Caenorhabditis elegans: one gene and its partner. The protein of the gene in region 1 purifies or fractionates together with the protein of each later gene. This does not show direct contact. Each region holds a gene or a part of one and is shown in the gene's direction. Other genes may lie near its edges.

Region 1 (3,793 bases):
AATTTTTTGTAACATCGCAATTTTTCAAATGTATTCTTTGCTGTTCTAAATTAGTTTCGATAAAACTTGCTTTATTGGCAAAAAATATTAATTTTTAAAAAAAGTTTCACTGTACTTCTCCTAAACACGGAGCATTGGAAATTTAATATTGATAGTTTTTCAAAAAAAATTTCATATTTTTCAAATTGAAAACTTACCATAGTCTGTTGTGATTGCATGTTTGACAGAGCACCCATATCCAGAGCTATGCTTGAGGAGCCATGCTGCTCATCATCTTGAAGAAGCTTTGAACGAACTAAAATTTCAGATTTTTATTGAATGAGCGAGGAAAATAAAATACCATTAGCTCCGGAAGAGGAGGAAGGAAGTCCCATTGGAACTGCTGCACCACTCGAGAATTTATCTCGGCGATTTTTTTCAGCCTTCATTGTTTCTGTACTAATTTCCAGTACGCTTTGATAATCTTTTCCGACATTCGCTAATTTTGACTGCAATCCAACTACAACTAATTGTATATGTCCACTATTTTGATTTTTCATGTTTCCTGCACGTCTTTTTGAAAATTCTTGAAGTTGTCCGATCTGTTTGTTCAAACCCGTAATGTCAGACTTGACAATTGATGAAAGATGGTCAATTTGAGATCGTTCTTCATAGCAGCTCTTTTTCTTAGCATATTCGGCAAGTTTTTCCATTTTTGCACACGTTTGACTCAATTCTTTTCCGATTCGCTTTGCGAGTTGATTGAACTGCACGGATTCAGATAGCATCTCATGCTTTGGTTGAGGTCTAATTCCATTTGCGGCTGCTTTCATCTGAAAAATTATATGTTACCCGAATTTTATATAAATAATAAAAATATTATCGCCTAGAATGTTTTTAAAAATATTAACAGGTGATTCGTGTTTCTTTTTTCTGTTCGAAGTGTATTTCGAGTTTCGCAAAAATCGATATATTCGTCTCGTCCAAATGTTGATGTGAAACCCGAATAACACGTTTTAAAAGTAAATGTTTCGAAATAAAAGCTTATTTTTAGAAGTTTAATGAAAAAACTCACTTCGTATGATTTGGCTGTCGCCCGGAATTCCGAAGTTCGATCTCTTGATGGCATTGTGATAATGATATGATCAAGTGGATTTCCAAAAATACTCAGCGATTCAAGTGTTTCTACTACCTTTGATCGATCTGCGTCTATGCTTTCAGTGCCTTCCGCTGTGTCGTAGGAGGATACAAGCGCCTCCTGAAAGATATATGCATGAAAAAATAAAAACCAGAAATATACAGATAGCCATCTTTCTTCGTTCCGATAGACAAACCTGCGCAGAATTCCAAAGTTGTGAAGCTGACGCGTTGAAAACGGTTGTGAGAGAGCTATACGCGAAACTAGTCGGAGCAACTGCTGAAGTGTGATTCTTCTGATCTGGATCGTAATCAAAATCGACTGTTGAGTAAGAACTGGCTTCTGGTATTCGTCGACGAGATCTAATGTTGTGAAAGTCCGACATCCGACATCGAACAAACTGAAAAATATTGTTTAAATGACTGAAAGCGTCGAAAAGATTAATATATTCAAATGTCACGGTAAAAATATTATTTCAAAAGAAAAACAAATAACAAATATTTCGCTGCATTGTCGCAACAGTCCACTAAACCGGCTCGACTTCGTGGAGAAGAAAATCAATGTGTGGTCGGAGGTTGTGCGTGGCGTTGCGTATTTTATGCGCAACAAACACGCTCCTCAATGCACTAGTTTTTCTTTTTTTTTTGTTTAATTTTCAGTTTAAGTTTTATATTTCTCAACCAAAATGCTCAGTCAAGTTAATTTTATTAAAAAAATACACATAACTTTTCGTTTCGATTTATTGTTTTAAGAAATTTCAGCGATTACCGTAAGATTTGGAACACGTTGCCTCCCGATTACCGTATCTCCCCGTAAATCGACACAAATAAAATAACAGCTTCCACTTCACGCTTCCGTTTTTGATTCCGTTTTCTGTATTCTTACTTAGTTTTGTCTATATTTTAGTGATTATAATATTACAGGAATGGCAGCCAACATTTTGGTGGTATCTTGCCTCATTCTTGGTTCCTTTGCCCACCAACCACAGCAGTTTCCTGGTTCTAATCAACAGCAACCACAACAGGTAAACAATGTTTGTAAAGAATAATAAGAAAATTATTTTCGCTAGAAATTGAACTGAAAAACAATCTGGATACAGTGATTTTTATTATTTTAAAGCTTCTTTAATTTTGTAAATTGTATTGAATAAATCAGGGTGGCCAAGCGGAACAAGCTCAACATGCTCAGCCTGGGCAACAGCAGTTTGGTGGAGAACAGGCCAGAGATGAACAGTAAGTTTTAATAACAATTTTCAAAATTAATTTAAAACATTTCAGCCACATAAAAGAACATTTGGACGGAAAAGTGGACCCAACTGCTAACATGACGCCAGAACAACTTCAATTCCATTATTTCAATATGCACGATTTAGATAAAAATGGGAAACTGGATGGAGTCGAGTTGATTAAGGCAATAACGCATTTCCATGCCGAGAATCCAGGACCACAGCATACACAAAATAATGCCAATGCCAATCATCAGCCACCACCACTCCCAAGTGAAGTTGAATTGGAGACGATGATTGATAGTATTTTAAAGTGAGATATATATTTAATTAATTTATTTTCTAGAGACTACTGCTAGCAATTAGCATAAGAAAGCACTAAAATATTCAAAGTCTTAAAAAAATACTTTACTGAATATTTTCAGGGACGACGATTTCAATGCTGATGGCTTCATCGACTACGGAGAGTTCCTCAAAGCACAAAAGCTTCGAGAAGATCAAGCAAGATCTCACCAGGAACAAATGCAGAAAGCTGGTGGCACACAATAATCGAGAATTCTGATTAGGACAACGATCTAATTAATAGCCATAATTTCCAATTCCTCGTTTCCAAAGTTTTCAATGTTTTATTAACATTCTACGTCTTTTGATGGGTTATATCGACTGCTGTAACAAATCATTTTATCATACTATCCTCGTCACTTTTAACACTTTAACTGGTACATAATAGTCAGACACCCTCCCCATTTCCCAGTCCTACAACTTTAGTTATTTTTCCAATTTTGCATTTTCCCCATCATTTCTCAAGTTGTGATGATTTTTCGAAACCCATTTGTAAAAAGCATAATTTATTGGTTTATCTTATAGTTAGTTGAGATCGAATAAAAACAAATGAAAATTTGTATTTAGCACCTGTAACAATAAAATTCATGTTTGCTTTTGCTTTTGCACTACCAAATTTTGCGTTGGAACTAAAAGGCGAAGCAGGGGGAGACTGATAATAAAATATTGACATTTGGCAGTCTTGAGAAAAAGAGTTTTCTGTCTATTTCTATTGATTTTATACATATTCCCACTCTATAATGCGTGGATTTTTATTCATCTCAACTGTATTCCTTCTATTAGGTATGCAAATCTGTTTATAACTTTCTAATGTTTATAAATTATTAAATTTTAGTGCTAGAAGCTCAAGGAGCAAAGTTTGCTGAAGAAAAAGAAGTACACGATGAAGAGTAAGTGCAAGTGTACGTATGAAAATTAGTTTGGTTAAAGTAAATGTAGATGCAATTATATGCCATATGCGAAATTTAGCAATTTTCGCGCTAAAAGCACATAACTCGGTCTCGACACGACACTTCTTGTCAAATACAAGCGGATGTGTGCCTCTAATGAGGACTGTAATTTTTTAATTTCATCGATCTTTCATTGTTGGTACACTATTTTTCAAAATT
Region 2 (5,261 bases), on another chromosome or scaffold:
AATCTGAAGCATTTAAAACTCAAAATGAAGTGCTGAATAGTCAGCTAGTAGAGTCACAGAGACTCACACAACAATGGTATGCAGAAGCCGAACGATACAAGCAATGGGCTCAACAATGGCAAGCCTATCAGTTGGCACAGCTTCCGAATGGTGTAGAGACGGGATTGGCTCAGCTTCAGCAACAAGTCAACGAGTTGGAGCAGCAACTCGGATTTGGATATCAGGCATTCGAACAGCAATCACAAACGGTATGGTAGACAGGAGATTTTATCAGAAAATCGAAAAATCGAAAATTTTCGTTTTTTCGAAAAAAAAATTTGTCGATTTTTCAAAAATTAGCTTAAAATTTTGGTCAGGGTTCTTCTTTTTTTGATGAAAATATTTATTTTTTTTCTCATCAATAAAACAAAAATTTGATTTTGTAAAATCATATTTTGTGGTTAATTTTCGGAAATTTTTTTCGATTTTCCGGAAAATCGAAAAATCGAAAAATGACACAATTGGATCAAAAAACTAAACATTTAAATCTGCGAAAATCAAAAAAAACCAAAAAACAATTCGATGCTTAAATTTATTCGAAAAATTTTTTTTCGGCTTCCGTTTGGTCTAAAATAAAAAAAATAACCAAAAAAAAATAAAATAACCATAAAAATAAAATTTACATATTTCAGATGCTCCACTATACATCAGAGAATGCAAATCTTAAAGATAGACTCGCGAAAACGGAAGCTGCTCTCGCTGAAGCCAATTATAAAATTGAGCAATTGAATTTGAAGCCAATTTCGAATGGAATAGTTGTGGAGCACGAACCACAGGTAGAATTCGAGTGGAATTTTCGAAATTTCAGGAATTTCTAGAAAAAACACTGAAAAAGTATAATTTTATTGGAAAAGATGGAAAATCTTACCAAAATTATCGATTTTTTCATTAAAAAATCGAAAAAATGTGTAAAATTTCAGTTTTTCGAAACCTTGATTTTTTAACAGATTTCTTTTTTTTAAGAAGGAAAAAATATATATATATATAAAAATAGTTATATATTTGAGGTTAATTTGAGCAAAACTTGATAAAATTTCAATTTTTTTTTTGAAAAAAGCTGAAAAAATAATAAAAAATTCTAAAAATATCAAACACTTAAAATATAATTTTTCTATGAAAAAATTAATTATTTCGTTTTTCAAAAAACTACTTTTAAATTTTGGTTCGATTTTTTCTGAAGAAATTATTTTTTGCTACAGATTTTTCATCCACTTTTTCATTTTTTTTTCAATTTTCTCTGGAAAAAAACTAAAATAAAAACGTTTCGATGAGTAGCTTTTGAGCTTTATCTCAGTGAAAATAATTCAAACATTTCAAATTTTCAGGCTGACTCCGAAGAGTTTTCAAAACTGAAACAAGAACAAGAAGAACTTCTGATGCTTCTCGCTGATCAACACAATAAAATGTCAGCCTACCGACGCCTTCTTCGAAACCTAAAACAGCCAGTGACAGATGATGAGGACGAGTAATAAGGCTGTGGGATTACTAAAAATCGGGTTTCTTTTTTGTTTTCTTTGGGGGGTCAATCTTGTCATAGAACATGTAATACTTCCAATCAACTTTTCTTTTTTTAAATCGAATAGGTTTCCTGTATAATATTTAATTTATAACGCATACACCGTACTTTCGCAGGATTTTTTAAGTGTCTTCTTAAAGGCGCACAGGTTTTTTTCAGATATGTTTCGGCTTTCTTGTTTTTTTTTCTCAAACTGATTTAAAACAATTTTTAACTTATGTGATAAATGCAAAGAAAATAAACAAAATTAAATACCATAAAAATTTTTTTGGGCTCGCCGAGACCCATAAAACCGTGCGCCTTTAAGAAGACATCTCAGAGATCTTGTAAATCTACGATATCGTATTCGCCGTGATTTTGCTGGCAAAATATTTTCTTCCTGTTTTTTTTGTATCCCTACCTACTCTTTCCATTTCGTTCAAACCACACTGTCTTCTGTGATACCGAAATTATGTTTTTTTTTTCCTTTCAATTTTATTTATGTAAAACTTAATAGTAAATATGGTCCAAATAAATTATTGATTGATTCCGAAATCCATCATTCTCTCTCTCAGGTTGAATGGGGATTCGGTGAATGATCAAATGATATAACGAACCCGTCTATTCTCCATATCAATAGTGATTCGGAAGCCGGTTCGTTCCTCTCGCCTGCTTCTCCTGGCCCGCGCATCTGCCATTGTTCTTCGCCTGTACACACCCTTTTTGCCTCTCGAAAATAATGATCTGGAAGAAATTTGCACTTTTGCTCATTTTTCTACCATCTCTAGAAGCATGTCATGCTCAATTTCAAAAAGAGCTTCGATATTTAGACTTGTATCTTGGTATTAGGCCAGATAATAATGGAGAGATTCCTGTGGAAGGTTGGTTTTTTGGTTTTTTGAAGGAATTTACTGTTTTTTGCTCCGAACGAAAAAAGTCTAAATTTTCGATTTTTTGGAAAAATTCAATTTTTTTTCAATAATTTATGGCCACATCCCGATTTTTTAAAAATGTTTTTTTCAACATTTTCCAGTTTTTTTTGGATTTACTCTGAATTTTGACGAGATTTTTTTTTCCAAAAATTTAAGCTTTATCGGAAATTTACTTGATTTTGTAGTTCCTTATTAAAGGCGCACGGAATTAAAAGTTCGCGGTAGTTTAATTTTTATTTAAACTTTGAAAACTGATTGTCAACGATTTATTACAGCTGAAAACCATGTGATTTCATTGAAAAAAAATACAATACTACATCCAATGAACAAATAAAACTACCATAAACTTTTTTGCGCGCCGAGGCCCGTCTGAATAATTCCGTGAGCTTTTAATGAAGTACTTCAAAATCTACAGTAGTACAGTAGTAGTAAAATTACGGTATTTTATCCAGATTTCGCTAATATTTCGCTAATTTCTGTAACAAAAGTATGTAACAACAATAAATCAGCCGATTTTTACTTTCATAAAAAATCTGGTTTTAGATTCGTTCTTAAAAATTAGTGATAAATAAGCAATTTTAATGTGAAGTGTTTTTTTGTTTTTAAACAGCTAAAATTATCAAACCACGAGGATCTGCAAAAAAAAACCACAATCACGTGGATTTCAGAGGCCGTTGGATTTGCCACGTATATTGAGTCACCTGATGAACTCAACTGTGACTTTGAGACCGAATGTCTTTGGAGAAATGCGCCGACTGATAAGCTTTTGGATACCAGTGATTGGTGGTATTTTAAGGTTTGTTATTCATGAAAAACTTTCCTTCAAATGTCTTGTGCCATTCTATTCTTTTTTTGGAATATAAAACCTTTTCTGAGTGGGTCTTGTCACGATCTCAGTTATAGATTTCGCTGAATACAAACTTTGAATGTGGTATAATTGTTCAATTAGAAATAAAAATGTATGTGAAATTCCATATCCTACGCTATATGTAGGCCAGGGTATAATATACAATATTTAGCTTTCAGTTTTGAGACGAATAATATGTAAAAGATACCAACTAATTTTGGCAACTAATTGGTTTTATGAACTAGTTTTAACTGAAAGTTTCAAAAAAAAAACATTTCAAAAACTCGATTGAAAGTGGCAACATTTCGAGAATTTATTCAGACAATTCAATTATACAGTTCAACTTTAGAACCATTGGAAAGTTCACCAAAAATTATAGAAAAAATTTGGAACGCTTCACGAATTTGCGTGTCATCCTTGCGCAGGGGCCATGCTAATCTTCTCTGTATTGTTCCAATTTTAGTATATGTTCTCGGAAGAACGAACAGTTAGATTTACATTTCAATTATATAGGGACCATTTACACAGCAGCTGACATATTTGGAGTTATGTAAGACACTATGACTATGCTAGGGAAGTGGAGATGCAAATCGATATTGGTATCGCTATAGAATAGGTGCACAAATTATTGATCTACATCTACATTTGGTATAGTGTCTTACATAACTCCAAATATGCCAGCTGCATTGTTAATGGTCCCTATATAATTGAAATGTAAATCTAAATGTTTGTTCTTCCGAGAACATATACTAAAATTGGAACAATACAGAGAAGATTAGCATGGCCCCTGCGCAAGGATGACACGCAAATTCGTGAAGCGTTCCAAATTTTTTGACGATTTTGTTAGACAAATCTATAAATTCTATACTTACAATTTTTCAAAACTTTTTTAAAAAATTAAACAATTTCAGAAAAATGACGAGAAAACTTTCCCAGTTCAAATCCAGCCCGGAAATCCTGTAATTCCAAAAGGCGAACATTTTATAATTGCTGGAAATACGACGAAAAATCCGAATGGAGCAGTGTTGAGCAGTGCTCCAATTGCTTGTCAAAAAGGATTTGCCAACTTGACTTTCAGGTATTGTCAAAGATAATTTTAAGAATTTTAAGCACAAAGTTGGAGGGCCTAAATTTTTTTTGAAATAAAATGTGTTTGCTCTTCTTTGAAAGCTTAGATCTCTACTGTCTTTGCATTTTTTTTAATATGTAAAAAACGAACTAAGCGTTCTTCTATGATTCAATAGTTTGAAAAATGCTGATATAAAAAAAAAAAATCGAAATTTTTAGTAATCTTTATATGACGCACAATTTCTCGTTTTTACTACAAAAATATTGCTATTTAATATTTTCATATTAGATTTGAGTTGCCTGAGTAAAAGCTCACAAAGTATGCGATCGGCAAAATACTGTGCTCTAACTAACATAGATTCCAAAATAAAATTATAATCCCAGTTATATCCTTCTAGCTTCTGGCTATACAACAATGCTCAAGTGGAAGTTATCATCCTTCGAGCAATGAATCGTAGACGTCATCTTCAAGTCTTGCTCAGACCAAAAATGAAGTGTGATTTCTTGGGAGCCGCCAATGAGGAATGTCGTGTCGAGATTCCGCCGATTAAGGAACCGTTCAGAATTGGAATTCGAGCATTTGATCTCAAAGATAATACTGTTGGAAGTTTGGCAATCATTGATCATATCAGATATCACGGAAAGATTTGCCAGCAATCACGTAAGTTTTAAAGTTATTCGAGATATGAAGCAGTCAAAATCAAATTGGCGCGCAAAAAAAACGATATTTTTAATCCTTTTTTAAAAGATTTTGTTCTGTAAATTTTTCAAAATAAAACTAGATTTGTTAGAGAAGTTTTAAACTTTCACTGAACATCCAGAAAAATCCAATGCCTCACTCTTCATAATCTAACAAAATATCTCAATCACTCCCATTTTA

Evidence for each region.
Region 2: the proteins of F55A11.1 (region 1) and mam-3 fractionate together in Caenorhabditis elegans (co-fractionation; one large-scale study listed by BioGRID). This does not show direct contact.

Annotation. Positions count from the first base shown.
Region 1 is NC_003283.11:11,762,628-11,766,420, reverse strand, and holds F55A11.1 (EF-hand domain-containing protein), read left to right. Parts: upstream 1-2,035; 5' UTR 2,036-2,042; coding exon 2,043-2,141; intron 2,142-2,272; coding exon 2,273-2,349; intron 2,350-2,394; coding exon 2,395-2,655; intron 2,656-2,767; coding exon 2,768-2,891; 3' UTR 2,892-3,282; downstream 3,283-3,793. Other genes in the region: syx-5 (Putative syntaxin-5), read right to left, coding at 198-295, 341-812, 1,055-1,237, 1,314-1,502; T04F3.4 (EF-hand domain-containing protein), read left to right, coding at 3,425-3,467, 3,520-3,574.
Region 2 is NC_003282.8:13,442,279-13,447,539, reverse strand, and holds the start of mam-3 (MAM domain-containing protein), read left to right. Parts: upstream 1-2,164; 5' UTR 2,165-2,273; coding exon 2,274-2,415; intron 2,416-3,134; coding exon 3,135-3,262; intron 3,263-3,693; exon of another isoform or gene 3,694-3,795; intron 3,796-4,038; exon of another isoform or gene 4,039-4,156; intron 4,157-4,224; coding exon 4,225-4,391; intron 4,392-4,779; coding exon 4,780-5,042; intron 5,043-5,261. Other genes in the region: uso-1 (Uso1_p115_head domain-containing protein), read left to right, coding at 1-248, 672-815, 1,365-1,508.